Pelodiscus sinensis: one gene and its partners. The protein of the gene in region 3 interacts with the protein of the main gene of each other region in a pairwise test. Links are inferred from orthologs where the notes say so. Each region holds a gene or a part of one and is shown on either strand. Other genes may lie near its edges.

Region 1 (7,353 bases), on a different chromosome or scaffold from region 3:
CTGATAGTCTGGCATCAAAATGGCAAGAGCCTAGTGAGTGAGCTTCGGCAAAAAATGAGTCACAAGGTAACAACGGCAGCAGCTGAACTGAGCAAAAAGGGTATAAAAGGGTTAAAAAAACTAAAACATTACAGTATACTGTATACAGTATGTACAATAAAAAGGGTTAAGAACACTTTATATACAGTATATACTGTATACAGTATATACACAACCAGCTTATAGTACCTCCTGATACTCCGGCATATCTGATAATCCGGCACCACCTTGGTCCCATAGGTTCTGGATTATCGGAAGTCTACTGTACATCCAATAAGTTCTTGGACTGCATTGGAGACAGTTTTTTATTCCAGAAGGTAGAGAAAGCTACTGGGGGGAAGCTGTTTTTGATTTGATTTTAACAAATAGGGAGGAACTGGCTTAAAATTTAAAAGTGGAAGGCAGCTTGGGTGAAAGTGATCATGAAATCATAAAGTTCATGATCCTAAGGAATGGTATAAGGGAGAACAGAAATATAAAGACAATGGATTTCAAGAAGGCAGATTAAGAACATAAGAACGGCCGTACTGGGTCAGACCAAAGGTCCATCTAGCCTAGTAGCCTGTCTGCCGACAGCGGTCAGCACCAGGTGCCCCAGAGAGGGTGGACCGAAGACAATGATCAGGCAATTTGTCTCCTGCCATCCTTCTCTAGCCTCTGACAAACAGAGGCCAGGGACACCATTTGTATCCCCTGGCTAATAGCCTTTTATGGACCTAACCTCCATGAAATTATCTAGCTTCTCTTTAAACTCTATTATAGTCCTAGCCTTCACAGCCTCCTCTGGCAAGGAGTTCCACAGGTTGACTACACGCTGAACTTTTTTTTATCTGCCCTCTCCACACCTCTCATGATTTTATAGACCTCTATTATATCCCCCCTCAGTCTCCTCTTTTCTAAAGTGAAAAGTCGCAGTCGCTTTAACCTCTCCTCATATAGGACCCGTTCCAAACCCCTAATTATTTTAGTTGCCCTTTTCTGAACCCTTTCCAAGGCCAAAATATCTTTTTTTGAGGTGAGGAGACCACATCTGTACACAGTATTCAAGATGTGGGCGTACCATAGTTTTATACAGGGACAGTAAGATATTCTGGGTCTTATTTTCTATCCCTTTCTTAATAATTCCTAGCATCCTATTTCCCTCTTTGACCACCGCTGCACAGTGTGTGGAAGTTTTCAGAGAACTATCCACGATAACTCCCAAGATCTCTTTCCTGATTTCTCATAGCCAAATTAGCCCCCATCATACTGTACCTATAGTTGGGGTTATTTTTCCCGATGTGCATTACTTTACACTTATCCACATTAAATTTCATTTGCCATTTTGTTACCCAATCACTCAGTTTGGTGAGATCTTTTTGGAGTCCCTCACAGTCTGCTTCTGTCTTGACTATCCTAAACAGTTTGGTATCATCCGCAAACTTTACTACCTCACTACTTACCCCTTTCTCCAGATCATTTATGAATAAATTGAAAAGGATTGGTCCTGGGACTGACCCTTGGGGGACACCACTAGTTACCCCTCTCCATTCTGAAAATTTACCATTTATTCCTACTCTTTGTTTCCTGTCTTTTAACCAGTTTTCAATCCAAGAAAGGACCTTTGCTCTTATCCCATGGCCATGTAATTTACACAAGAGCCTTTGGTGAGGGACCTTGTCACTTTCTGAAAATCTAAGTATAGTATATCTACTGGATCCCCCTTGTCTGCATGTTTAACCCCTTCAAAGAACTCTAGTAGATTAGTAAGACATGATTTCCTGTTACCAAAACCATGCTGACTTTTGTCCAACAAGTTATGTTCTTCTATGTGCCTCACAATTTTATTCTTTACTATTGTTTTGACTAATTTGCCTGGTACTGAAGTTAGACTTAATGGTGTGTAATTGCCAGGATTGCCTCTAGAGCCCTTTTTAAATATTGGTGTCTTGTTAGCTACCTTCCAGTCATTAGGTAAATAAATTAATGGAGATTGCTTATCTCCTAGAACTGGAAGGGACCTTGAAGGTCATCGAGTCCAGCCCCCTACCTTCACAGCAGGACAAAGTACCATCCCTGACAAACTTTTGCCCCAAATTGCCTCCACAAGGATTGAACTCACAACCCTGGGTTTAGCAGGCCAATGCTCAAACCACTGAGCTATCCCTCCCCCCAATACAGAACCTGATTTAAAGGATAGGTTACAAACCACAGATAAAAGCTTAGCAATTTCCCATTTGAGTTCTTTTAGAACCCTCGGATGAATGCCATCCGGTCCCGGAGATTTGTTAACATTAAGTTTTTCTATTTGTTCCAAAACCACCTCTAATGACACTTCAATCCGGGACAGTTCCTCAGATTCATCACCCACAAAGGATGGTGCAGATTTGGGAATCTCCCTAACGTCCTCAGTTAGCTCAGAGAGCTGGTAGGTAACATCCCATGGGAAGTAAGACTAAGGGGAAAAACAACTGAAGAGAGTTGGTGGTTTTTCAAAGGGATATTATTAAAGGACCAAAAGCAAACTATTCCACTGCATAGGAAAGATAGAAAGTATGGCAAGAGACTGCTGTGCCTTAGCCAGGAGATCTTGCATGATCTAAAAATCAAAGAGGAGTCGTATACAAGTGGAAACTAGATCAAATTACAAAGGATGAATATAAACAAATGAAAGTGTGTAGGAGTGAAATGAGAAAGGCAAAGGCAGAAAACGAGTTCAATCTAGCTAGAGACATAAAGGGTAACAAGAAGACATTCTACAAATATATTAGAAGCAAGAGCAACAAGAGTCCCCACTTGCTGCCTGTCTACACTGGCCGCGAGTTCTTGCGCAAGAACAGTGACGTTCTAATGTATGAAATCAGTGCTTCTTGCACAAGAACTATGATGCTCCCGCTCAGGAATAAGCCCTCTTGTGCAACTGTTCTTGCACAAGAGGCCAGTGTAGCCAGGCAACATGAATTTCCTGTGCAAGAAAGCCCTATGGTTAAAATGACAATCAGAGCTTTCTTGCGCAAGAGAGTGTCTACACGGTCAAGGATGCTCTTGCGCAAAAGCACATGCCAGGGTAGATGCTGTCTTCTGGAAGAGTTTTTGCACAAGAACTCTTCCGCGAAAGAGTTCTTGCGCAAAATCATGCCAGTGTAGACGTAGCCCTAGAGTCTAAGGGGGTCCATAAAATCCACTAACTCTGGAACCCCAGAAAAGTAAATCTGGCCTATGGGAAGTCTAAACCCCAGCCCTCCTTGTCCCTTCCCTTCAGCCTGTGGGGCTGGAATGCCAGAGGAGTGAGGTGTCTCAGTTGGGAGCACATCAGTGAGGGCGGAGGGGGAATTTGGATAAGGTTTTTGCTTCTCAATTGTGTGGTCTCCAATTTATTTTTCTGTGGGTCAGTGGCTCCTGACACAAAAAAGGAACCCCCACACCTGCCATATATAAAGAAAACATTGAAACCTTTTCCATTGGCTATGAATTAATATTTTATTTGATTTAAAATGAAGTATGATAAACTAATGTGGGAATGTTAAAGCGCTTAATCTGTTTAATAATTTAGATTTAACCAGTTTCCCTCCTTGTAGCACTTACAAAATGGCTTGGGTGTAATTATCTTATTAATAGTGAGTTTCCATTAGCAACTAATGGTCCACACAAAAGTTTACATTGAGCTAAGTGGTCTGTGTTGGGCCAAAAAGTTTGAAGCCCACTGGTCTAGCCCATCCCTGAGAGCTGTCTGTCCAACCTGCTCTTAAAACTTTCCACTGATGGAGAGTCCATCCCTGGTAACTAATTCCAGCCTTTCACCACCCTGGCAGCTAGGAAGTGTTTCCTAATGTCCAACCTAAACCTCCCTTGCTGCAACCTAAGGCCACTGCCTCGTGTCCCGTCCTCAGAGGCCAGGGAGAACAATTTCCCTCTTTCCTCCCCGCCCCCCCCAGGGGGTGCAAAGCCCCAAAGGACCCCAACTGGCCCCCTGCTGTGTGCAGGGGCCTCCGCCGCCCCCTCGTGCCGCTGCCGGAGAGGGGGAGGGGCAGGGGGCTGCCTGCCCCGCGGGCGGGGCTCTGTCCGCACCCCCGCCCGGGACCACCTGGGGGCGCCCCGCTGCAGCCAGGCTGGGTCCTGCCGCGGGGGCGGGGCGGGACTCGACGGCCGCTCGCGCGCGCGCGCGCCCTGTGACCGCCCCCGCCGCAGCGATGACGCGCCCTCTCCCCGGGGCCGCACGTCGGACCGCGCCGAGGCCCCGCCCCGCGCCGCACGTCAGACCGCGCCGAGGCCCCGCCCGCCTTCCGCCGGCCAAGGGGCGGGTCTGCGCGGCTGCCGTCCAATCGCGCGGCGGCGGCGGCGGCCCGGGCGTGCGCCATTGGCCCGGGCGGCCGGCCTCGAGCAGCAGGCTGCGTTGCGTCGCGTCGCGCGGCGGTTAGTGCCGCGGCTGTCGGCGACGAGAGCGCGAGGCCGGGCCCAGCCCGGTGAGTGTCAGCGGCTGGGGCGCTACGCGGGCCTCGTCCGGCCCGGGGAGGGCGGGGTCAGCCACGGGCCCGCGGCTGCAGAGCGCCGAGGAGGGGGCGGGGCGCTGGGTTCGGGGGGGCTGTGGGGAGGGCCGGGGGGGCGGGGCGCTGGGTTCGGGGGGGGCTGTGGGGAGGGGCGGGGCGCTGGGTTCGGGGGGGCTGTGGGGGGGGCGGGGCGCTGGGTTCGGGGGGGCTGTGGGGGGGGGGGGGCTGTGGTGGGGAGGGCCGGGAGCGGCGGGGTGCTGGGTTCGGGGGGGCTGTGGTGGGGAGGGCCGGGGGGGCGGGGCGCTGGGTTCGGGGGGGGCTGTGGGGAGGGGCGGGGCGCTGGGTTCGGGGGGGCTGTGGGGGGGGCGGGGCGCTGGGTTCGGGGGGGCTGTGGGGGGGAGGGCCGGGGTGGCTGTGGTGGGGGGGGCTGTGGTGGGGAGGGCCGGGGGGGGCGGGGCGCTGGGTTCGGGGGGGCTGTGGTGGGGAGGGCCGGGGGGGGCGGGGCGCTGGGTTCGGGGGTGGCTGTGGTGGGGAGGGCCGGGGGGGGCGGGGCGCTGGGTTCCGGGGGGGCTGTGGTGGGGGGGGCGGGGCGCTGGGTTCGGGGGGGGGCTGTGGTGAGGGGGGTGGGGCGCTGGGTTCGGGGGGGCTGTGGTGGGGAGGGCCGGGGGGGCGGGCCCTGGGTTCCGGGGGGGCTGTGGTGGGGGGGCGGGGCGCTGGGTTCTGGGGGGGCTGTGGTGGGGAGGGCCGGGGGGGCGGGGCGCTGGGTTCGGGGGGGGCTGTGGTGGGGCGGGGCGCTGGGTTCGGGGGGGGCTGTGGTGGGGCAGGGCGCTGGGTTCGGGGGGCCTGTGGTGGGGAGGGCCCGGGGGGGTGGGGCACTGGGTTCGGGGGGCCTGTGGTGGGGAGGGCCTGGGGGGGCGGGGCACTGGGTTCGGGGGTGCTGTGGTGGGGAGGGCCTGGGGGGGGCGGGGCACTGGGTTCGGGGGGCTGTGGTGGGGAGGGTCCGGGGGGGCGGGGCGCTGGATTCGAGGGGGCTGTGGTGGGGGGGGCCGGGCGCTGGGTTCGGGGGGGAAGGTCTCGGCCGGAGCTGGTGACCAGGCTGCAGGCTGGGCAGTATCTGACGCTCACCAGGTGGGACAAAGAGGACACATTATGGTAGCTGGAGCTTGAATGAGGAAGGAGCAATTGGTGCGTGGGGTCTGTGCCCATTAGCCATGGCCTAACTTGGGCACTTGCTGGGCGAGCCCTCCACCCCGCTGTTTTGACAATGCTTGTATAAATTAGCTACTTTTCCCTATAGCACACTCAGCCCCAAATCCCTCTCTTCATTCAGGCTTGTGGGTCTCTGGATCTACATAATTCTGCCCATGGTGCTGTTGGCTGGGTCCCAACCAACTTGTGCCAATGTGCAATATTAACTTTTTGTACATCTGGTAATGTTTAGAATAATGCAACTCTCTCAGCAACTAGATTTCTCCCTCGTAACCAGCTGCTTGCTGTTTAGCCTTTCCAGAAAGAAAGGTATGTGGAATAAATGGGAGAGAGGCGGGTCCTCCACACTGAATGACCCAAAATTATCTATAGGAGAATGGAAACAAACCAAATTGTTTGCACTCCAGTGGATGGATCAGTTTTCAGAAAGAATGTTCTCCCCAAGCTTTTGGGGTGTCTGCAGTACCTATGAACATGTGGGATGAGGTCACTAGTTGGGTCCAAAGCAGATAGGTGTTCAGCAGTTACACAGTTACGTGTGCCAGGCAGTGAGGGCGGCGTTCGGTTCCCCAGGAGCCAGTGTGCTCCAGGAACCGGCTTTTATACTGGCTCCCATCCGCCACCCTGTTCTTGAAGAGCTGGCCCGGGCCGCTGCCTCTGGTACAGGGTGAAGCAGGAGCCGCATGTAACTGTTTGGGTAGTTGATTATCGGTTGAAATGGCTACACTTTTACATCCTTAGTCAAGTCAAACTCTTCTTCCTGAGGGAGTTGACCTGAGCTGGAGTGGCTGTTCTTGGGAAATACCAGCTCAGCTCTGGGTGCTTAACTAGAGGTGGTATGTGAGTGTTGTCATGGTTTCTAGGTATTAGAATTGCATCTCACCATGTCTGAAGGAGAAGCCAAGCAGGTTCCCAGTAGTGGCTCAGACACAAAGCCAGAATCCACATCTTCTGGCCCAGGAATGACCTCCGTGTCCCCACCAGTGACTTCTACAGCTCCACCAGCGCCCCAAGAAGAGGAAGAGGAGGAGAGTGAAGATGAGTCTGAAATCCTTGAAGAATCCCCCTGTGGCCGGTGGCAAAAAAGACGTGAAGAGGTCAGTTCCCAGCAAATGACAGTGGGGCAGGGAACTTGTAATGATCTCTGTTGAGGGAATCAGACCTGAAAAATAGGGGGTCTGATGAGGATCAGAGGTGTGTGAGCTGGTGAAATTTTGTGCTTTTCATTTGAGTATAGGCAGAGTTTGGTGCTGGTATAGAGTTATCTACCCTGGAAGAAGAATGGGGGCATGAGGAAGCGTGGCCTTGATATGAGGAACTGCTCTGTGGTCTACTATCTAGACATGAACTAATCTGAGTAGCTCAGGTCATCCTGTCCTGTGTAGGATGTAAAATTTTGATTGATTGGCTAATTGAATAGTGACTATTCAATTAGTTGATAAGGGTGCCTCCGCCTTTGAAGTGTACCTACAGCTCCGTGGCAGTTGCCACTTCCAGGGCGAAAGCGCTCCATGCAGCACTACTGCTTTAAAGTACTCCTTCCTCTGATAGAGGCGTCAAGGAGGGGGGAAGCAACTAGTTGATTAGTGTTGATTGTCTGATAAGCGTTTACTTATTGGATAGTTGATTAGTTGTTCAC
Region 2 (7,165 bases), on a different chromosome or scaffold from region 3:
TCGGAAGGGGAAGAATCTTGTGCTTCTGCCGTGCAGTTGTACCCTGTGCGCTATAGAGGCTGCTTCTAGGACAGCGGAGTCACATGCCAGTCACACAGCTGGGCGGTGGGTCTGTGTAGCAGCTGCTTCTCCTGAGCTGGCCCCACCAAATTATTTGTATTGTTTGGCTTAAATTCTAGGCCCAGAGCTAAAACTCTCCTGCCTCTGGTTAACAGGTGTTTCCTCTCTCTCCCCATTGCTTCCCAGTACTCCAATGTGTACTGTACCACGCCTAAAATCCAGGATCTGGTGGATGATAAATGCCTCCAAGAAGAATGTCTCTCTTACGTCACCAAACAAGGTACAGCAGGCCTGAACCGGGCGCATGTGAGAAGAGTGTGCTGGCCCAGGATATGCCGGCAGAGATCTAGGAGGGACTGAGAGCCTGTGCTGAGCCGTGGGGTTCCTTCTCCCTAGGTTTTGCTCACGCAGGGACTTGGAGGTTAACCCAGGCTGATTAACATGTCAATGCTCTGACAAAGGGGTTGAGTGGTGTAGCAGGGATGGCTGGGAGGAACTTCAAGGGGAGCTAACCAGGCTCAGTATCCCAGCCACGTAACCTACAGAGCACAACGAGGCTGCTCTGTAGTTCTGTGGGCGCCGTGGGAATGGCCTCGAGGAGCCTAGAGCGAGGCCAGGTCCTGTCCCTCTCCAGGGCAGCCTCTTCCTTCGCGCAATCCCTGTTCTGTCTTGAGGAACGGCAGCGGTCTCTCTCTTCCCCACAGGCCACAAGCGAGCCAGTCTCAGAGACGTCTTCCAGCTCTACTGCGGGCTGAGCCCCGGCACGACCGTGCGAGACCTCATCTGCCGCTACACCCTGCAGCTCCAGAGAGTGGAGGAAAGGTCAGAGGCTGCTAAGGAGGGGGCCCTGGAAGTGTGGATGAATGCCAGGGGTGCAGTGATACGGGCAGCCAGGGGCTTGGTAGCAGGGCTAGCTCAGGGCGTTCCCCTCAGTATCATTCACCCGTCTTTACTCATGGGGAAACTGAGGCACTGCAGCAGGGTGACTGGCCCAGGGTGTCACAGTGAAACTGCAGCAGAGGCAGGAGCAGAGCCCAGGTCTCCTGACTTTGCTCCTTGCTCTAGCAGCTTCCTTGTTCAGAATCCTACTGTGATTTCGGTTCACTTCCTGCCAGCCCAGCAGCCCCAGCTGGGTCATGTCGTCAGGCCCTTCTCTTCAACCTGTAGCCCCCAAGCCTGCTGGCAGGCCGCCCGTTCAGCCTTCTGGCTTGGCTCAAGCGGCAGGAGAGGCTGGGCGGGGGCTGAGCTCCCATGCGGCAGGTGAATGGTTTCCCGGGCCGGCAGCCCTTCTGAGAGCAGTGCGTTCCCCCCTCAGGAAGCTCATCCAGTTCGGTTTGATGAAGGGCCTGATCCGCCGGCTCCAGAAGTACCCTGTGAAGATAGTGCGGGACGAGAAGAGTCACCCGGCACGACTGTACACGGGCTGTCACAGCTACGATGAGATCTGCTGTAAAACAGGTACCGGCGCCCGGCTGTGCAGCCAGAGGGGAGAGCCCAGGGATGGCTCAGCAGCAGGGGAGGGGTGTTCGTTCAAGGGCTGTAAGCAGGGGCGGCCCGTGAGCCTGGGCAGCCTAGGCAGTAGCCTAGGGTGCCGCCGGCCTGGGGCACCTGATGATGACATCACGGCCATGCAGGCAGGGGTGCCGATCGCAACTTGCTCCTGGGGCGCCAGCTGCCGCAGCCGGCCTCAGGCCACTCCTGGCCGTAAGGCTCGCTACCCTGATTTGCATTGGCCCTCAGAGCCAGGGTCAGGGCCCCATTGCCTTCGGCTCTGTGCTGCTGTGGGAGTTGCAGCAATATGCAGGAATTGCCAGGCACTGGACAAACCTACCGGATCAAATGAAATAACTGGCAGCCATTGCCTAGCTTGGCCTCGTAACAAACCCAGCCGAGAGCCGTTTCCCATCCCTGCTGCAGCCTGATGGTGGGAGCTTAGCCCCAGAAGAGGATCCGGCGAAGCAGATCCTTTCAGAACCCATTGGATATTTGTGTTCCTCTCCCTTTGAGTCCTGTTGAAACAGCAAAACCCTGGAGCGTTGGCAGTAGGGTCGCTGCTGTTCGAAGGCAGCGCTGCACACGGCGAATAGATGCCTGCAGCCCGGAGCGGATGCAGAACAAACAGTTCTGCCGTGTGCTAGAAAGAGCAGCTCCTGGCCGTCTCTGCGAGGCCCAATGGAAAGGGCTGTGCTGCAGAGGGAGGGGATTGGAGAGCTGAGCACCTCAGGAGGGGACTGGATGAGAGTTTTTCCCTCTGGAGACTTGGATTTAAGAGTGGGTACCCCCCACGTACAGCACGAATGCGGTGGGCTCAGATCCCCGCTGAATGAATGGCTGCCCACATCTCGGCTACAGGAAAACTACCGTTCGCAGTGCACACGTTCCTGGTACCACCGCCAATGGCGAAATCCCCAAATACTAGCCGCTGCGGCTCCAGGCCCCGCAAGGAGCTCTCTGCAGCTCCCAAACTCACTGCAGGGGTTGGGAGCCATGGGGAACTCAGCTGTGGCTCCTGATAGCCGTGGGGAACCAGGGCCGGGAGCTGTGATGAGTTCCCTGCCGCTCCTGGCCTCTGCCATCCCCCACCCGCGCCAGGCCAGGCCAGCCCCGAGAATACACGGAACTGTGAACAATGATTCTGCAAGTCATGAGAGTCTCCCGTACTGGACTGTTGGTGTGCTGGAGCGTCTGCTTGGGAGCAGCCTAAGAGAAGGGTTGGCAAGGTGACGGTGCAGGAGGGGATGCCTGAGCCAGTGCGATTACCGGCTGTACTAGCGAGACAGGGAAGGGCTAAAACGGAAATGGAAGACCACGTGCTGGGCGTCGGGGGGAGGCGTTGTAGGGGAAGGCTGCAGTCAGTGAGTGTGCTGGAGGTGAGGATCAGGCGAGATTGGTGAAGTAGGACGGGGAACACTGGCATAGTGCCAGTCTCCATGGCCTCTTGCTTTTGTCTGACATGGCCATTGACATAGAAGTGATAATCGCCGAGCTAGCCAGGATCACACCGTAGGGCCAGATCTCTGGTTCAGCCCTGCTTTCCGGTGACCAGGCTGGGAGAAGCAAACTCCAGAATCGGTGGTTTAACTTGGGCCAGGCTTCAGATCAAAGCAAGTCTACAGGAGCTCTCAATCCGGCACGATCCAGATGTTCTGCTGTGAGCAAGTCACTTCGCCTTGGTGCCTGCCTCGCCCTATGGGTGGTAACAGTGACTTGCATTAGTGCCAAAGATGGGCTGGTTCTGACACCGTTGCTCTCTGCTTCTCCCTCAGGCATGAGCTACCGAGAGCTGGACGAGAGGCTGGAGAACGATCCCAACATCATTGTTTGCTGGAAGTGAATCTCTCTTGGGACGGGGACAGGCAGCGTCCTGCCGCGTGGAGAGAAGAACACGGGGGCTGGAAGGCGGAGCTGGTCACCGCTTGGAGATGGCTCCAAGAGCCCAGACTGTGGCTCTTTCAAGTGACTGGGCTCCTGTGGGGGAGAGGGGGGTGGCGTATTTCCGCTAACGCTGCTCGGAGAGCAATTGCATTGCTCCACAATAGCAAAGCATGGCTCTGGCATCTCAGTGCAAAGCGTGTGCGAGCCAGCTGGCTTCTGCCACGTGCCGCTGGTATCATCGGTTCCACGGTGTCTGGGCCAGCCTTGGTCGCGCACGAACTCGTCACTGCTGTCATGGGAATTGGAAGGTGTTCAGTTGGGGCGCAGAGACCCCCACGTGGGGACCAGCCTGAGTCTGTGTGTTACAGGGAAGGGGGGTGGTTTCCACTCTCAGAAGCACGGATTGTTTTGCCTTCTCTGTCCCTAGCCGCTTTCCCCGCAGCCCAGTGAGGCTGCCCCGATCCAGCAGCAGAGGGGGCTGTGGGAGCGGAGTAGCCGGGTTCGGTAAAGGGGGCTCCGGGAGAGGAGTGAGTCAGTGGCAATAAAACTGATCCAATGGCCTTTGAAGCGTCGGTGCATTCCCAGCGCGGTGGCGGATGGAAAGTGGGGGCGGGGCGAGGGCTGGGCGGGGGGAGGCGCTGCCCCGCTCTCAGGCACTTTTCCAAGTGGGAGCCTGGCCTAGATTGTTTCAGAGCTGGGGGCGGGTAGCTCCTGTGCCCCTCCCCCCGCCGCGGGGGTGAGCGGGGCGTGGCCGGGGTGGGGATGCTCCTGCGGCAGCCACCCCCGAGTGTCGGCTGGAGAGTTTGACTGCAAGCCCCGCCCTCCCCGCGCGCTGCCAGGCAAGGGGCGGGGCCCTGGGACTCGGCTCGCGGGGCGGAGCCGGGCGCGCGCTGGCCCCGCCCAGGCCGGCGCCCGGTCTCCATGGCGACGCGTGGGCCATGGCGGAGGCGGCCGCGCTGCTGCTGCCCGGCGAGGCCGAGGCGCTGGTGCAGGCGCTGCGGAGCGGCCCGCTGCGGGACACCGGGGGCCAGGGGTGCGAGCCGGGGGCGGGGGAGTCCCGGGAGGGGGGAGCCCTGGGGACGGGGGAGTCCCGGGGGGGGGGCTGCTCCTCGGGGTCGGGGGAGTCCCGGGAGGGGGGGGGCTGCTCCTCGGGGTCGGGGGAGTCCCGGGGGCGGGGGAGTCCCGGGAGGGGGGGGCTGCTCCTCGGGGGCGGGGGAGTCCCGGGAGGGGGGCTGCTCCTCGGGGGCGGGGGAGTCCCGGGAGGGGGGGGCTGCTCCTCGGGGGCGGGGGAGTCCCGGGAGGGGGGGAGTCCCGGGAGGGGGGGGCTGCTCCTCGGGGGCGGGGGAGTCCCGGGAGGGGGGGGCTGCTCCTCGGGGGCGGGGGAGTCCCGGGGGCGGGGGAGTCCCGGGAGGGGGGGGCTGCTCCTCGGGGGCGGGGGAGTCCCGGGAGGGGGGCTGCTCCTCGGGGGTGGGGGAGCCCCGGGGGGGTGCCCCATTCCCACTCTCTGGGGATCTGATGAGCAGCCTCCCGGGGGTCGGTCTGTCGGAGGGGGACCCGTGTCCCAGCTGGGTCCCAGGCAGGCCATGGCCAGGCGACACGGGCTCCCCTCTGCAGGTGGCTGCGGCAGCACGAGGCCCTGGAGAAGCTGAACATGCAGGCCATCCTGAGCGCCTCCACCGGCCAGGAGCAGCTCCTGCTCGAGCTGCTGGTGAGCCATGCCAAGGTGAGCCCCTGTGGGTGCTGGGGCACCACTGTGCACCCTGGGCACGAGGGAAGCTCCACAAGCCCATCCCCCTACAGTGCCTGGGCCAAGTGAGCTCTTGCCTCTTTGCGGGGTGACTCCTCAGCCTGATTCACCCCTCAGTCAGGAAATGTGCCCTGCGCTGCAGTCCTGATTTTCTGTTGTCCAAAGCACTCCGTTGTACGAGCCTAATCAAGTTCTCTCTGTGCTTGGCATCTGCACTCTTCCATACTGCTCCCTGGGCCTCAGTCATTTAGCCACATTATAGATAGATTTTAAGTCCAGAAGGGACCACTCTTATCTCATCTGACATCCTGATTAAGGTAGGCCACTGTGATTCTTGCATCAAACCCATATCTCATGGCTGAGCTAGCACATATTGTTTAATTGTAAGTTAAAGACTTCAGGTCATGGGGAATCCACCACTTCTCTAGATAAATTGTTCCATCCTTTGGTAAAAATGCGTGCCTTATTTTCTAGTTTCAGTTTGTTACACCTTTGGCTCTTGTTCTCTCCTCCCTGCTCAGCCCCTGTGTTTCCTCCAGTTTGTCTACATTTTGGGTACAAAGGACCCCTGAACTGAATGCCAAATAGAGGTTTGGTTGCACCAGAGCAGACTGTTGCTAAACAAACTGGGTCTTGCTTATACAATCAAGGGCTGCACTTGGCTCCGATGTAACCCTGAAATCAGTGGAGCCTTACCTCAGTTACAAATTCGGTCCCTTTGAAATGTTGCTGCTATATTAGGAAATAGATTATTTGAACTCTGAATCCCTCCTTGCCCTGCACCAGATATGCTGTCCCATTTCACCCAATGGAAAGGTGGGGGCAGATACTGATTTCAGAAATGACTGTCAATGGATGAAGCAGATAGTCTGATGATGAGGCATATGAAAGTACCTAGATGATCAGTGCAACAAACCTGTGTGTCTCAGCATCCTCTTCTCTAGGACTAAAATACTCTTACGGCACTTGGCTTCTCTCTTCCTTTTCTCTTGCCTGATAGGTTTCACTTTCTGTGCTTTACTCCTCTGGCCAGGTCCCTATTCTCATTGAGGAATTGATCTCTGTGGAGATCTGGAAGCACAAGGTGTTCCCTGTGCTGTGCCAGCTGGAGGATTTCAAGCCAAAAAGCACCTTTCCCATCTACTTGGTGGTGAGTACAGAGAGCTCTTGGAGAACAAACTTGCACGATATTCTAGTGCACTGCCATGATCTAGGATGTCAGCATTGCATGGCACTTCTGCTCCAGCAGGCCTGCTTCACGAGACACCTTGTCCATAGCCCGTTAAGGCTTTCACTGCAGTAGCTGCACGTGAATCATTTTCACAGGCAAAACTCTCATTAATATTATACCCTTATTTACATAAGACCTTTCTTCTCAAGAATCCCAAAGAACTTAGAACATAAGAACAGCCGTACTGGGTCAGACCAAAGGTCCTTCTAGCCCAGTATCCTGTCTGCCGACAGTGGCCGGCACCAGGTGCCCCAGAGAGGGTGGACCGAAGACAATGATCAAGCGATTTGTCTCCCGCCATCTCTCTCCAGCCTCTGACAAACAGAGGCCAAGGACACCATTTTATCCCCTGGCTAATAGCCTTTTATGGACCTAATCTCCATGAATTTATCTAGCTTCTCTTTAAACTCTATTATAGTCCTAGCCTTCACAGCCTCCTCTGGCAAGGAGTTCCACAGGTTGACTACATGCTTTGACTACAAAGGATCACTCCTTCCCCCCCCCCTTCTGAAAGGTAGCCACCCATGTGGTGGAACATTGCAGCTGTTTAGCATATAAGAACACAACGTAAACTTAGGGAATGAGGAAGGATCTGCTATCCAGTTGAGATGACAGTGGAAATTTTGACAACCAATAGACTATGATCACCTCTCCTAGACTTTGGCCAGGGCACTGGGGTAACTGCTGCCCCTTTAAAACCAGCCATAGAACCATGAATGACCAAAAGTTCTCAGGGCTGTGATCTTACATGT
Region 3 (7,828 bases):
AATCAGGCATGATTTTAGTTAGTCAGATGTCCTCTTATGCGTGTGGCCAAGTTTCCCACAGTCCCATACAGTTTATTTACAGCCACCAGTCCTGGCTCTCTGTGTTCGGTGCTGTTATTTAGTTCTAATTTGCCTCTAAATATCTTCTAAGAGCCCAGTAAGCAGGGGAAGTGTTGGTGATGCTGCTAGATAATATTGACCTCCTATTGTTTGGAAAATTCTCTGGTTCGGCACCAGTCAGGTCCCAAAAGTGCAGGACTAGAGAGGTTCAACCTGTAGTTTGTTATTGTAGAGTCTACTAGAAGGAACGTGGCAATGGTTTGCTATTGGAGTATTTCTATGATTTACACAAGCACACACACACACAGGCCTGCCGCCAGCCTGGCCCATTGCCAGGATCCCTCCCTGTTCCTCCCCCCAGGCCTGTGGGCCCCACACCATCCCCTCTCCCACTGCCAGGATCCTGCCCCCAACTTCCCCAGTGCAGGCAATACAACTGAGTCACATCCGCTGCCAGCCATTCAAATGCAACTTCCCCTCCCCCAGCTTCCTTCCTCTTCTACTGCTTGCATCTCCCTCTGTCCCATTCAGTCCCCGCATACTGCTCCACCACATGGCAGCCCCTTCACCAATCGTCCCAGCACTCCCCCTCCCCCGACCATTCACTGGCAAAACAGGAAGTCCCACCCTCCACCAGGCACACTGGGCAGGAAGTCCCACCTCACCTGTCATCATCGCTGTCCTGGTGTCCCCCCATGGCAAACATAGATCGGGCCAGGCTGAGACGTGCACCAAAAGGGTCCGACGCTTTTCGAACAGGGCTCCCTTCCCGAAACAAGGGGAGGGCTGGGGAGGAGGGGCGGGAGCTTCGCAGTGGAACCTGTAGAGGAGACATCATAATGGAGAGAGGCCAATGAACAAGGTGGAGCAGAAGGGACCCAGGCATCCTCCCTTGCCCCCACATGCTTCAGTGGATGCTGCCAATGGCTCCGCATCCCAAGGACAGCATTGGGCAGCTGCAATGGGGCCTGAATGCCTGGGTTCCTTCCATTCTTTCCCTGCCCACCAGAGCCTGGGGGGCAGTGGGCAGATGAAAATCACCCCTTTTCCGTCATGGTGATGAGAAAGGAGGAGGCAGCCGGGGAGGTGTCAGGGCCCAGAACCTGACCCCCCTTCCCTGGACCATACATCCTGCTGAAGGAATGTCTCTCTGGGACAAAAGGTTAGATTCATGAGATATCTGTGGGTCTGCCTCTACTTTGTGGGGCTGAACTGGCTAGGGGTTCCTCCATCAGACCCATGGCCCAGTCGGCCTGAACCCACCTCCAATGCCAGATGCTTTCAGAGGAAATTTCTGCAATGCACCTCACTATATCACAGCACAGGAGAAGGTGGCCCTCAAACCTTACCCCATTAACTTCCATTACCCCCAGCCGAACTGTCAGCCCAGCCAGCATCCAGTGGTGGGGAGTTCTGCAGGCTGATGCAGCCCCAAGTGGTAGGAGGTCATTGGAATCAGGGTGATTGCAGGTCCAAAGGGAAGAGATGGAGCCAGGTGTGCAAGGAGCTGTCCCACCACTGCTATCTCCTCCCTCTCCAGCCACCACCCGTTTACTACCCCATGCGCACCAACAACCCTCCACCTCCTCACCAAATGCTTGTCAATCCCCCTACCCTCTGGGGAGGGTATCCTAGTGGAGACCCCACCTATCTGGTGCAGGGGAGACATGGCTCCTAATATGGTTCAGAATTAACCCACAGGACTACCTACTGCAGGATTTCCACTGGGGATCTGATCGGCGAGGGGCAGGTAGAGTCAAGACTGGACTAGCCCACAGGCTGATGCAAAGGGCCAGATACAAGGTTAGATGGGCCTGTGGGGTGGCTTTCTACCACGTGGGTCTCCGTGGTCCCATGAAACCCAGGCATCTGGCCCCCTTTACCTTGTGCCTCTCCTCCACCTCCCTCCGGATGCGCTGGGCGAGGCTCTGGGGCAGCAGCAGCTCTTCCACCCCCACGCCCGATTCCCCAGGCTCAGCACTGGCCCCATCACTCTGAGCTCTGCCCCCTGGAGTTCTCTCCCCACCTCCCAGCGAGCGGGGCAGGTGCTCGCCAGGCAGCGTGGGCCAGGCTGTGCCCTGGGAGTGGCCATGTCCGCCCCAACGCGCCAGCGGGGGGCTGAAGTAGCCATGGGGCTTGGGGGCCAACCCAGCAAGCTCCAGGCGGGAGTCAAGAGACTGCGGGTGCCGGGCAGCGGCCAGGAGCCGCCCCACCACCTGGTGCTCCGGGTCCCGGTCGTAGAAATCCAGGCAGGTCCAGCGTCCCCGTTTATATGGCTCCCCAAGGCCCTGGTCCAGCTTCACCACCCGGAAGCGGGAGGCAGCGGTGCTGCCGGGTGGCACCGAGGGCCCGTTTCTGGGCACGGTTGCATCCTCTGGCAGCTCCATGGCGGGTGGCGCCTCCTGCTGTTCGTACTCAGTGGTGATGCTGGTGATCTGGAAACTGCTCTTCTTTCTGCTCATGGTCCTGCTCCCGCGCCAGCTCAGCGGGGCCTAGGCAGCACCGGGCCAGCACCAGGCTCTCGGGGCGGTGACATGCCTGCGGGCAGCTGGGCAAAGGGGGCACCACCAGGGGCAGGCAGGGCAGCCCCTGGGGTGCTAGCTCGCCTGGAGGTCAAGGGTCCTGGGGCAGGTTACAGGTCATGAGGAGCACACTCCCAGGAAGGGGGGCGGTTTGGGGGGGGGCTGCTGGCATCCCCGCCCCTAGGCCCCCACCGTGCTGGGGGCAGCACTGGAAAGTTCCCTTAAGTTGGGCGCGTGCTGGGGGCAGGGGGGGCTGCAAGGTGCCCGGGGGTGGAGGGCGCACTTTTCCGGCAGGGGGTCTGGATTCTCTCTTCTGTGCCCGGGGAGCACCCCCCGCCCCAACTCCGGCCAGCGCCGCCGCCTGTTGACAAGTCCCCGCTCCAGGAAGTCCGGCCCCCGCCCCGACCAGCTGACTGCTCCCCCCCCCCGCCCCGTTAACCCCTTCCTGCTGCAGCGCCCCATTCCCGCCCCGCCCCTTCCTTTCCTTTCTCTTCCCTTCAGTGCTGCAGCGCCCCGGCCTGCCCGCCCCGCGGCAAGCGTCCCGCTGCATCTCCCCGCCCCCAGCACCGCCTCGGCCTGCCCCCTCTCCCCGCCCCTTTAACACTCTCCCTGCCGCAACCCCCACCCCGTTACCCCTTCCCTGCTGCAGCCCCCCCGCCCCATTAGCCCCTTCACTGCCACAACCCCTGTAACAAAGTGGAGATTGTAGTCACCCGATTGCTTTGTTGCACGTGATTTCTACTGTGCTGTACTAAGCCCTCGTGTGCCTCAGTTTCTCTGGGCACTACACCAATATCTAGACGATGGGAATTTCGGTGACAGCCTCCCCCACGAACACAATAGCTGATACTTTCTGCAACCTGAGCCTGGGACGGGGGTGTGACCAGGTCACGCCCTTTGTCCGAAGAAGCCGACCAAAAGCTGGAGGCGCGTCAGACTACAGGGCTGATACAGGCTGCTGAGGGTGTGAGCGAGTCTCGCTGGCTTGGGGTGCTAGGAAGGGAATGGGAGCCCTTGGCTCTGAGCCTCCTCTCCCCAGATGGATGGTGCTGGCTGCTTCTGGTTCCTGTGCTGACAAGTCTGTTCTGTGCTGTGTCCCTGTCACCTAATAAATCTTCTCTTCTACCTGCCATCTGAGTCACATCTGGCTGTGGATGGGGGTGCAGGGCCTGGTGGTTCCCTTCCCCTCGATAACAGCCCTGGCCCCGTTAACCCCTTCCCTGCCACTGCCCTGCTAACCCCTTCCCTCCTGCATTTTGCCTGGCCCCTTAACACAAGAACTTATCCCTGCAACAAACCCTGTTGCCAACTCTGTCCATACATCTACACAAATGTGCCAAAGGTTAAATGGACTCAAATGGATCACAAAGCAAGGTAACATACAAAAACCCTTAGAATATGTTAATCTCCCTGGATGCTCAGTAACAGATTTAAAAGTAGCATCCTTCTACCAAAAAAACTGCAGAAGCAGACTACAAAGAGAAACAGCACAGCTGCAAAATTCATTTGCAAATGTAAGGATCAAATTAGAAGTGAATAAGGACTTAGAATGGTTCTCCTACTACAAAGGCAATTTTCTCCCTCCATATTCACAGCTTCCCCATCAGCTGCTGGGACTGAGCACATCAACCCAGACTGAACTGGCCTCTTTAACACTGGTCTTACACTTGATAACGAAGGATGAGTCTACACTGTACAGTTATTCCAAAATAAGCAGGTTGTGTAGAGTACCCAAACTCCCTTCTTTTGATGTGCTAGTTCATCTGTATATATCCCTGCCTCTATTTTTCCATTCTATGCACCTCATGAAGTGGGCTCTACCCATGAAAGCTGATGCCCACATAAATCTGTTAGTACTTAAGGTACCACAGGACTCTGCCTTGTTTTTACACACATACACCAGCAGGAAATTGTCACAAGCTTGAAAGATGCTGCTTCCTCCTGCTGGTGAATGAGGGGAAAGCACCTCCCCTCCATGCCACTGGCCATGCCAAGCCCACCTAGATTCTAGGAGACAGAAACTTACTCAGGTAAGGGGACCTTATGCAACTGGCCATCCCACCCCAGAGGTGGCTGCATCCCAACACCAGGCAAGAGGTCCTTGTGAAATCAGCCACCCCACCCCAGAGGTGGCTGCATCTTAGCGCTGGGCGAGGAGTTCCTGTGTAATAGGCCACCCCACACAAGAGTTGGCCCCCTGGTAACCATCTGTTATGCCCTAGAAGTGGCTGCCTCTCACCACCATGGAGGTGTCCCTGTGTAACAGGCTGCCCCACTCCAGAGGTAGCCACATCTCAGTCCCAAGCAAAGTGGCCATGTGTAACCCCCTCCTCTGCCCCAGAAGTGGCAACATCTCAGTGCTGGGAGAGTTGTTCCTGTGTAACCGGCCACCCCACTCATGAGGTGACTGCATCTCAGTGCTAAATGAGAGGTTACTGTGTAACTGACAGAAAAGAGGAGACTAAGGTGGGATATGATAGAGATTTATAAAATCCACTGGTGTGAAGAAAGTGAATAAGGAAAAGTTATCTACTTGTTCTCACAACATGAGACTGAATGAGGGGTCACCAAATGAAATTAATAGGTAGCAGGTTTAAAACAAACAAAAGGAAGTATTTCTTCACACAACACATAGTCAATCTGTGGAACTCCTTGCCACTGGATGTTGTGAAGCTCAGGACTTTAACAGGGATCAGAAAAGAGTCAGATAAAATCATGGAGCATACTTATTAGCCAGTGTCCCTAGCCTCTATTTGCCAGAAGCTGGGAATGGGCAACAAGGGCTGAATCACTTGATGATTCCCTGTTCTATTCATTCCCTCTGGGGCACCTGCCACTGGCCACTATTGGAAGATATGATCCTGGGCTAGATGGACCTTTGGTCTGACCCAGTCTGACCATTCTTATGACAGTTCCATCCCACAGGTGGCCACATCTCAGCCCCAGATAACCAGCCACCCCCACATCTCAGGCTACTTTTAGACTACAATGTTTTATTAGAAAAGGGTATGCAAATTGCACTCTGCAATTTGCATACCTTTTTCTGATAGTTTTGTTGGAAGAGGCTTTTCCAAAATTTGGCCCATCCACAGTGGGCCAAATTTCAGAAAAACCTATTTTGGAAGAGCCCATAGAATGAGGAAGACAGGGCTTCTGAAAGAGTGTATGTGCTCTTCTGAAAAAAAAAAAGCGGAAGAGCAGACACATTCCCTGGATGCAGCAGAGTTTTTCCAGGATATCACGGAAAACCCACGTCGCCTAGACGGAACCTCAGTGCCTGACAAGATATTCCTGTGTAAACGACTTCCCAGCACTAAGATGCCACATCTCAGCTCCAACCGGGAGGTTCTCTTGTAACCAGATGCCCCACCCCACAGGTGGCCATGTATAAGTGCCAGGCCAGGTGTCCCTGTGTAACCATCCCTCCCGCCCCACAAGTAACTGCATCTCAGTGCTGGGGGAGGGGTCCCTATGTGACCAACCACCCACTCCAGAGAGGGCCACATTCCAGCTCCAGGCGAGGGGTCCCCTTGTGCCCCAGAGGTGGCTGCATCTCAGCCCTGGGTGAGGGTTCCCTGTGTAACCAGCTGTCCTGCCCCATCTGTGGCCACATCTCAGCCTAGGCGAGTTGTCCCTCTGGGTATATCTACACTACATGGCTCCATCAACGGAGCCATGTAGTGTAGACATACCCTCTGTGACCAAACACAGACCTTCAGAGGTGGCTGTATCTCAGCTCCAGGTGAAGGGTCCTGGTGAAACTGGCCACTCCCCATGCCCAGAGGTGGCTGTATCTCAGTATTTGGTGGTGGGTGCTGTAAGAGCTGTTACAGCAACACAGGGTGTGGTCTCCTGCCCTGCTTGGTCTTTGACTCTGGAAAAATAGGGTTCATGGTCCAGGAAACAGGGACACATGATGCCCCCCTCGCAGGCCAGTTCGCAGGCTCTGGGGATTCCTGGGATGATCAAATACAGTTCTCCGCCTATTGTGGGGTGGCAGTGAAGGGCAGCAGCTGGGTGGGGAGGGTGCAAGTCGGGAAGAGCACTGGGGGTGGGGGATCTGTGAGTCAGGAGTGAAGGGCACCAGTGGAGGAGCTGTGGGGGGAGTGAGGGGCACCAATGGAGGTGCTGTGGGTGTGGGAGTAAAGGGCACTGGTGGGGCGTGCTGTGGAGGGAGTGATGGGATACTGGTACGGGGATGTGGAGGGCATCAATTGGAGATTGCAAGGGGGAGTGAGGGATACTGGTATGAGGGCTGCAGTTGGGGGGAGTGAAGGGCATTGGTGAGAGGGTTTTGGGGGGGAGTGAGAGGCACTGGTGGGGGAGCTGCAGGGGGAGTGAGTGGCACTGGGGAGGATGCGGGGGGGAGTGAGGGGCACTGGTGTGTGGGGTGCGAGAGGAGTGAGGGGCACTGGTGAGGGGCTGCAGGGGGAGTGAGAGGCAGTGGTGTGTGGAGTGCGGGGGGAGTGAAGGGCACGAGCGTGTGGGGGGAGTGAGGGGCACTGGAGTGTGGGGTGCGGGGGGAGTGAGGGGCGCGGGGCGGTGCGGGGGGGAATGAGGGGCACTGGTGAGGGGCTGCCGGGGGGGAGTGAGAGGGACTGGTGTGAGGGGCACGGGGCGGGGCGGGGTGGGGGGAATGGGGGCACTGGTGAGGGGCTGCAGGGGGAGTGAGGGGCACTGATGGGTGGGGTGCGGGGGGGAGTGAGGGGCACTGATGAGGAGCTGCAGGGGGAATGAGGGGTACTGGTGTGGGGGTGCGGAGGGAGTAAGGGGCACTGGAGGGTGGGGTGCGGGGAGAGTGGGGGCACGGGGCGGTGCGGGGGGGAGTGAGGGGCACTGGTAAGGGGCTGCGGGGGGAGTGAGCGGCACTGGTGGGTGGGGCGTGGGGGGAGTGAAGGGCACGGGGGTGCGGAGGGAGTGAGGGGCACTGGTGGGGGACTGTGGGGACAGTGAGGGGCACCGCCGTCTCTCTCCCCGGCCTCCCCCCCCCACGTTTCTCCATCCCCGGCTGCGGGGGGGCGGAGGGAGGCGCCGCGGGTTGGACGCTGCGTCAGCGGCAGCGGGATGGGGCGAGCGGAGCCGCGGGAGCCGAGCCGGGCAGGTACCGGAGCGTGCGGGGCTAGGCAGGGGTTGGGGGATGTGTGGGGCAGGGAAGTGAGCTGGGTGGGAGATGTAGGGGGCTGGGTAGGGGGCTGGAGAATGTGGGGGGCAGGGGAGGGGTCTGGGTGGGGGATGTAGAGGGCTGG
Region 4 (6,947 bases), on a different chromosome or scaffold from region 3:
GCCATGGATGCTCTTGCGCAAAAGCACATGGCAGCGTGGACATGCTCATGCGCAAAACAGTTCTCATGCAAAAAGCCTGCAGTGTAGATGTAGCCAGAATGTTTTACAAAATTGCAGAAGAAATGGACGTGATTAGGTGTCTTTTTTTAAATCCTTCATTTTGATATAGATTTGTCATTCAAGTCTGCATGAACAGTATACCGTTCATAGTTAAAAAGGTAGCTGTCTCCTTTAGATTAAAGTTCCAATTCAAGTTTAAAAGACATTTTCTTCTAGAGTTGTTAGTGTTCCATTAATCACACAAAAGTCTGGAATACTCACAGGCTGTTTCCAGCAAAGGAAGAAATGTTACAGTGGCAGTTATTTGTCTGATAACAGATCGAATTTCCTCCTGGATAGCTTTCTGAGATTTCTCTCTTGGTACACTACATGAGTAATAAGTTGTCAATATAGAAAAAAGCTTTTGTTATAACAGAAAATTTCTCTGTATCTACATCTCTTCATTAAATTGTTTAAAAGCTGTTCTTGCTATACAATAGAGACAATTTTCCTTCACACACACACACACACCCCCCGCGCTCCCCCCCCCTCTCTCAAATGGACAAATACTATGTAGTGAAATACAAAGTGGATGATCAAGGTTTGGAAAAATATAACCAAAATGACAGCTTATGATTTTGATTCATTGTTCTTCCATGAGACCTCACAATGTTAAGACTACCAGCCTCTGTCTTGATTTCCTTGAGAACTGGTTTATGGGATAATACTGCTACCAAAGTAATTGCTTCTCAATATGAGAAATTTAGGAGAATAGTAGCAATCAATACTACCTTGAAGTCTGAAATAGTTGCTGAAGAAAATAACAGCTTTATACAATAAATTTTTTTAAAAAAGGGGGAAAATTCTATCTTTCATATACAGCTTCTTTTAAAGTAAATGGGAGTTATATATTCAGCTGAGATCAAAAGTTTTTCATTTGATTTAGAATGAAGCACACTAGTTAATTACCAGCAAACTGAAAACTATACAATGCTGTGAAAGATTTCTGCTCTGGTGTATTCTCTCTGCACCTGAGTGTTTTTTAAATGTTGCAGCACAGCCTATAAATACAAAGGGCCTTTAACACTCGCATCTAATCGACTACTAGCATGAACCAACAGGAAGGATTTATAACAGTGTAATTTTGAAAAAAACAAACAAACAATGGTCTTGTAGCACCTTAGAAACTGACAAAAATATATAAATAGTATATTTAGCATTCATGGGCCCAAGTGTAATTTTGAGTGCATTACCTTTCATCCTTTGCAGTCTTGTCACATTCAATATCAAACTGCCACCTTTCAAGAACCTCACTGCTTTCAATGCTAGAGATCACTACAACCAGCCGTTGTACTGAACATTTGTATAACCAATCTGAAATAAGAAAAATAAAAATTTCCCTACAGTCAGATAACGGAGATCACTCTACTACACACACACACACACATATATATATATAAAAAAAAAGAGAGCTGTCATTAAATCTCACATTACTATCTGCACTAGTAGTTTCACTGTGGAAAAGCTGTTAATGTGGAGTCAACATCCTAAATAAGTTAGTGACAAACCTTAAAGTATACGTTCACTTCACAACTAAATAGCGAATTCAGAAATATAAAAACACAACAGACATTGGCTATGTAAATAGGCAAGCTGAACATACATACTAAGAGAATGTAACCTGTTTAAGAAATTCACATTTGAGCACTGAAGGGCAAGAAACTACTTTGCCTTAGTGAGGACTGGATAGAATCATAGAACCATAGAGCTGGAAGAGACCTAGAAGGTCATCAAGTCCAGCCCCTGCTCTAGACAGGACCAATCCCAACTATATCAACCCAGCCAGGGCTTTGTCAAGCCGAGACTTAAACACCTCTAGGGATGGAGATTCCACTACTTCCCTAGGTAACCCATTCCAGTGCTTCACCACCCTCCTAGTGAAATAGTTTTTCCTAATATCCAACTGGACCTCTCCCACCACAACTTGAGACCATTGCTCCTTGTTCTGCCATCTGTCACTACTGAGAACAGCCTCTCTCCATCCTCTTTGGAACCTCTCTTCAGGAAGTTGGAAGGCTGCTATCAAATCCCCCCTCACTCTTCTCTTCTGCAGACTAAACAGACCCAACTCCCTCAGCCTCTCCTCATAAGTCATATGCTCCAGCCCCCTAATCATTTTGGTTGCCCTACGCTGGACCCTCTCCAGGTCTCCCAAAATAAGACTCTCCCCAACATATATAAATAGGATGGGTAAATATAAACAAACATGGACTATCACACAGTTCCTATGCATGTCGCACTCGAGACTCGTGACAGCTTTGACCTATGCCAGGCGCCGAAGATACAGGAGATCAAAGCGAGCGCCCATTTCGGTGGCTTGGCTCTGCGCTACCTTTCAGCTGCTCCACCACGTTGTTGAGGTAGTTTTTCAGGTCCGGGTCTGTGGTTACCAGCAGGGTGAGCCCGTACTTCTGCACGCGCGTGAAGGTCTCCGAGGGGTAGACCCCGCGCTGGTACAAAATGCTGTTGATGCCGAAAGCTGAAAGGCAGGAGAGGCGGCTTCGTCACGGGACTCCCCGAGTAGAGAGCCCGCCCCCGGCATCCCGCCCCGTTACACAAAGCGGAGCGCTCGGCAGAGACGCGGCCCCCAGGCCCCTCCGCGGCCCCCAGGCTCCCTCCCCCCGCGCTCGGTTCATCGCCCCCAGTGCGGCGGCCCGGAGCCGCCCGGCCGCCGACTCACAGAAGAACTCGGCCACGATCTCGGCGCTGCCCCGCAGGGTGATGCCCTGCTCCCGGCTCAGCTGCTTGGCCATGGCGCGGCGGTACCGCGTCCCCGCCGCCCGCTTCAAATCAGGCGCTGCCCGCGCGCCGCCTCATAGGCGCGCGCCGCCCCGAGCGTTCGCGCCGAAGCACAGGCGCTGCCCAATGGCGGCACTTCCCGCAAGCGCCGCCGCTCCTCCCTCCCGGAACCGCCGCCCTTGGGCGCAGGCGCAGTAACTTTCTGTCTTGGCGGGCTTGGCGAAGCGGTCGGGGTTGCGCTGGGACCTGAGCGTTCGCGGGGGCGCCGCGCCGACCAGCTGTGTGGGAAGGGGCAGCGCGTGCCCTGACTCCCCGCCCCCCCCCCCCCCCCGAGCGGGCCGTGCGCTACACCGCGAGGGACGCGGAGGTTCGAAAGTGCAAACACGCCCGGACCCTGCACGGCTGCAATCCCCTGCGCGTGCTGGGGGGGGGGGGGCTGGGACTCGAGTCCCTCCCCACCCCGGGGAATCCCCCATGTTTCTCAAAGCAAACGTTAAGCGCGGGCAGCTGCCGCCTAACGTGTGATCCCCGGCGCTGGGGCCGGTGTTTTCCCCAGGAATTGAAATTAAGGGCGGCTTTCCAGTTTATGGGAGTGTGTGTGTGTGTCAGAGCCAGCCAGCTGAGGCTGTACGGTAAATGAAAAGTAACGCAGCTGGAAAACAATCTCAACGATGCCTGCAAAACCTCGGTGTGTCAATTAGCTGTTACCGCTCAAGAAAGGTTCCCGCAGGACAGGTCCACCAATAGCTATTAGGATGGGCAGAGATTCAACACCATGCTGTGGCTGGGATGCCTTTATTTCTTCCTGGTGTTTCAGTCCATGCAGTCTACACGTGGTTGAAAAGTTTTATCCGCTGGAGGGGGGAAAGGAGCTGTTCGGCATAGAGAAGACGGTGCAATTGGCAGTAATGCAAATGTGCAATGAAAATGAGCAGACCACTCAGGCTGGTGGGGTTGAATTTCTTTAGAGGGACATGTATTGGGCTATAGAAGGAGATTAAAGGAAAGTGATGGTGGAGGGGCTGTTCCTGGCAACTTCCAAACCTTAAATGTTCTAAATGCAAATGTTAACAATATTATTGGTCCTTCGGGGATGGATTAAAACAGTGCTGGGCAACCTAAGCTAGTGAGCGGATTGCATGAGTGATGCTCATTCATCTGAGTGGGTTGCAAGATTGTTTTACCAAGATGGTCCCTTGGAATAGGGTAGATTTGCTATCTGCACTTGTGTACTTAGAATTTGTGGGATGACCTAATTTATAATTTATAGCAGCACTTTGACTGGATGCAAAGGGAGTGCACAGCTCTCTAGTCAATGCTGTGTGCAATAAGCACAAACATCATTTTATGTGCCCTTTATGTGTATGCCACTTCAGTAATACCAATAGGAAAAAAGTGATGCACACATACCACTGGAATCTAGCAACCCTGTGCATGGGCAGCTGTAAACACAATTTCTCATGGGCCATACATATAAACCCCTGTGGGCTGCACAAGGCTCATAGCTACAAGCTGCATTAGAGGAAACAATAGGTCTCTTTCCATCTCCCAAGTGCCTGTCACTGGGTTCTGTAATTGTCACTTTACAGTACAGCCAGAATACATTCAGTTCGTCCCCTTTTTTATATGCAAGATTCATAATTTGTTTCCATAGAGGAAAAGTAAAAGTACAGCTGTTAAAAGGGCAAGAAAATTAAGGAACATGTCTTCAATCCTGTTGGAATACAGTGAACGTACAGCTTCCCCATATGGGGAAAAATTGGTTCAGAAAAAGAAGCAGCAGAAAAAATGGGTTCAGAAAAAGAAGCAGTAGTCTTATCGACCTGCTTACCCAGTAACTGCATAAATGGCCTGTCCAGAGCAGCCCTTTGCCCACAGCAGGACCACAGCTGGACTCTGCCTGTGGCTGCAATAGGCTGGCTGGACCCTAGCTGAAGCAGAGTGGTCCGGAGAAGCCCTCTGCCCACAGCCATTGCAGGATGGGCCGGAGCAGCCCCCCTGCCTGCAGCACACCCACCCTCTGCACAGTGGACAGGAACAGCCCCACATTCCACCCCTGTGGCATAGTAGCTCAACCGGCAGGACCCTATTCATGAAGGCTGCAACAGGTGTCACCTGTGATGCAATGATTAATTGTTTAAGCACTGTAATTTTAATTGTTTAATCAGTTAACTATTTTAATGGGTTTTTACATCCCTAAAATCAGCACCTACTGGAGCAGTTAGGTAACCTCTGGGAAATGGTGTGTTTATTCTAGAATTGTTTGGACTGTGTCCTATACATATCTTGGTTTGAGACAAATAGATATTTGTCCCAATGTATGTCATCAGAAAGGCCAGCGAAGGGGGATGTGTTGCTCATCCCAATACACTGTGTTGCTCATCCCAACCTCCCTCAAATCACATAGTCTGATGCCAAATTGTCTTATCTGAATAAGGAATTTGCCTTGAAGTAAAGTCCAAGTAAGATACTGAATCATCTGCTATTTGAGAGTGAGGAAGGGAGGCCTATCTAGCTTCCTACTGAGTGGCTTGGAATACAGTAAAACCTGTGTTATCTGGCACGCTCATCGGGGATTAGGGTGTTCCGGTTATCTAAAAATTCCAGTTATCTGAGGGTCCCATCAACCTAGGAAAAAACAATGAAAAATAATAATAAAACTCGAGTTTTTAATATTGGTAGTTTTGCAGTATGAGGCAGTTGGTCTCATATTTCTATTTTGAGTTAAAGATTATTAGTACTTCTTAAATAAACAGGCGCATGCAGTTGCGCGTGGTGGTCATTGGAAAAATGTGAAGGTCCCTGATCATTGCCTGCATAGTCTGGAACCTGTGCATGGGCAAGGATGCTGTTCCTGTGGTGGAATCCAGGAACGTTGCTACAAACTCTATAGTCTGGGAGGGGACCATCATGGACTCCTCCTTGTTCAGTATAAGGCCCAACTGCAGGAATAGGCTCCTGGAAACGTGTGTGGCTACCTGGTCCTGAGATGAGCCACGAATCAACCAGTCATCCAGGTAAGGGAAGACTTATACCCCGTGGCGTCTCAATGCAGCTGCCACCGGGACCATACATTTGGTAAAGACCCTTGGCGCTGTGGTGAGTCCGAAGGGTAGGACTGTAAACTGAAAGTGGTCCTGGGCTACTGTGAACCGCAAGAACTTCCTGTGGGAGGGCAACACCATGACGTGGAAATATGCAAATTTCAAATCGAGGGCAGCAAACCAGTCTCCTTTTTGTAGGGAGGGAATAATTGATGCTAGAGTGACCATTTTGAACATTGTCTTCTTTATAAATGTATTTAGTCCTCTGAGGTCTAGAATAGGATGAAATCCCCCTTTTGCCTTTGGTGCAAGGAAATAATGGGAGTAAAACCCCCTCCCCCATAACTCGTCCGGGACGGGCTCCACTGCCCCGAGATTCAGGAGCTTCACCACCTCCTCCCTCAGCAGTGTTTTGTGAGAGGGGGGTCCCTGAAAAGGGAGGAAGGGGAGTGGGGAGGAGATGGGGGCAGAGGGGAAGTAAAGGGGATAGAATAGCCCCATGCCACCAGGCTGAGAATCCACTGGTCTGATGTTATAGATACCCAGGCTTGGTGGAAACGGGATAAATGAAAACCAAAGGGGGGGGAAGAAGACGTGACTGGTATGCTATCCTCGATCGTGCCCTCAAAATGGTGATTTGGGGCACTGACCCGCATACGTAGTGGGGCCCTTATCTTAAGTTGGTCTAGAAGCTCTGCGCCGGTTTGTAGGCGGGTTATTTCTAAAAAAAATTACGGCCCTGCCTTCTGCTGCGGTCATAGGTAAAACCCCGCTGAAATTGCCTTGTAGCAGGCTTGGGGTTGAGGGGTCGCCTAAGTGGACCGGGCGTATGGATTCCCAGAGACTTAAGAGTTGCCCGGGAATCATTCAGACTATGCAGTTTGGAGTCCGTTTGATATGAAAAAAGATCCGCTCCTTCAAAGGGCAAGTCCTGAAGGGAGGTTTGCACATCGGGTGGAATGCCCGACACGTTTAGCCATACAGTCCATCGCATAACAACTGGTGCCATTGTCCATGCAGCTGAATCAGCTACGTCTAAAGCCGCCTGAAAGACCATACGGGCCA

The links.
Region 1: the proteins of TSC22D4 (region 3) and NRBP1 interact in binary tests that used the Homo sapiens proteins (3 or more experiments, as listed by UniProt). The link is inferred for Pelodiscus sinensis from reciprocal best matches to the Homo sapiens genes TSC22D4 and NRBP1.
Region 2: the proteins of TSC22D4 (region 3) and ZMYND10 interact in binary tests that used the Homo sapiens proteins (3 or more experiments, as listed by UniProt). The two-hybrid records come from large-scale screens. The link is inferred for Pelodiscus sinensis from reciprocal best matches to the Homo sapiens genes TSC22D4 and ZMYND10.
Region 4: the proteins of TSC22D4 (region 3) and MAD2L1 interact in binary tests that used the Homo sapiens proteins (3 or more experiments, as listed by UniProt). The two-hybrid records come from large-scale screens. The link is inferred for Pelodiscus sinensis from reciprocal best matches to the Homo sapiens genes TSC22D4 and MAD2L1.

Annotation. Positions count from the first base shown.
Region 1 is NW_027465901.1:438,076-445,428, forward strand, and holds the start of NRBP1 (nuclear receptor-binding protein), read left to right. Parts: upstream 1-4,335; 5' UTR 4,336-4,481; intron 4,482-6,577; 5' UTR 6,578-6,598; coding exon 6,599-6,811; intron 6,812-7,353. UniProt on the Homo sapiens protein: Required for embryonic development. Plays a role in intestinal epithelial cell fate and proliferation, thereby involved in the architectural development of the intestine potentially via the regulation of Wnt-responsive genes.
Region 2 is NC_134721.1:45,026,802-45,033,966, forward strand, and holds the start of ZMYND10 (zinc finger MYND domain-containing protein 10), read left to right. Parts: upstream 1-4,154; 5' UTR 4,155-4,373; coding exon 4,374-4,468; intron 4,469-5,049; coding exon 5,050-5,158; intron 5,159-6,215; coding exon 6,216-6,332; intron 6,333-7,165. Other genes in the region: GATOR1 complex protein NPRL2, read left to right, coding at 247-340, 765-882, 1,376-1,518, 3,327-3,394. UniProt on the Homo sapiens protein: Plays a role in axonemal structure organization and motility. Involved in axonemal pre-assembly of inner and outer dynein arms (IDA and ODA, respectively) for proper axoneme building for cilia motility.
Region 3 is NC_134734.1:8,743,861-8,751,688, reverse strand, and holds the start of TSC22D4 (TSC22 domain family protein 4), read right to left. Parts: upstream 3,008-7,828; 5' UTR 2,523-3,007; coding exon 1,944-2,522; intron 881-1,943; coding exon 726-880; intron 1-725.
Region 4 is NC_134715.1:36,054,717-36,061,663, forward strand, and holds the start of MAD2L1 (mitotic spindle assembly checkpoint protein MAD2A), read right to left. Parts: upstream 3,001-6,947; 5' UTR 2,853-3,000; coding exon 2,780-2,852; intron 2,579-2,779; coding exon 2,432-2,578; intron 1,414-2,431; coding exon 1,293-1,413; intron 426-1,292; coding exon 322-425; intron 1-321. UniProt on the Homo sapiens protein: Component of the spindle-assembly checkpoint that prevents the onset of anaphase until all chromosomes are properly aligned at the metaphase plate.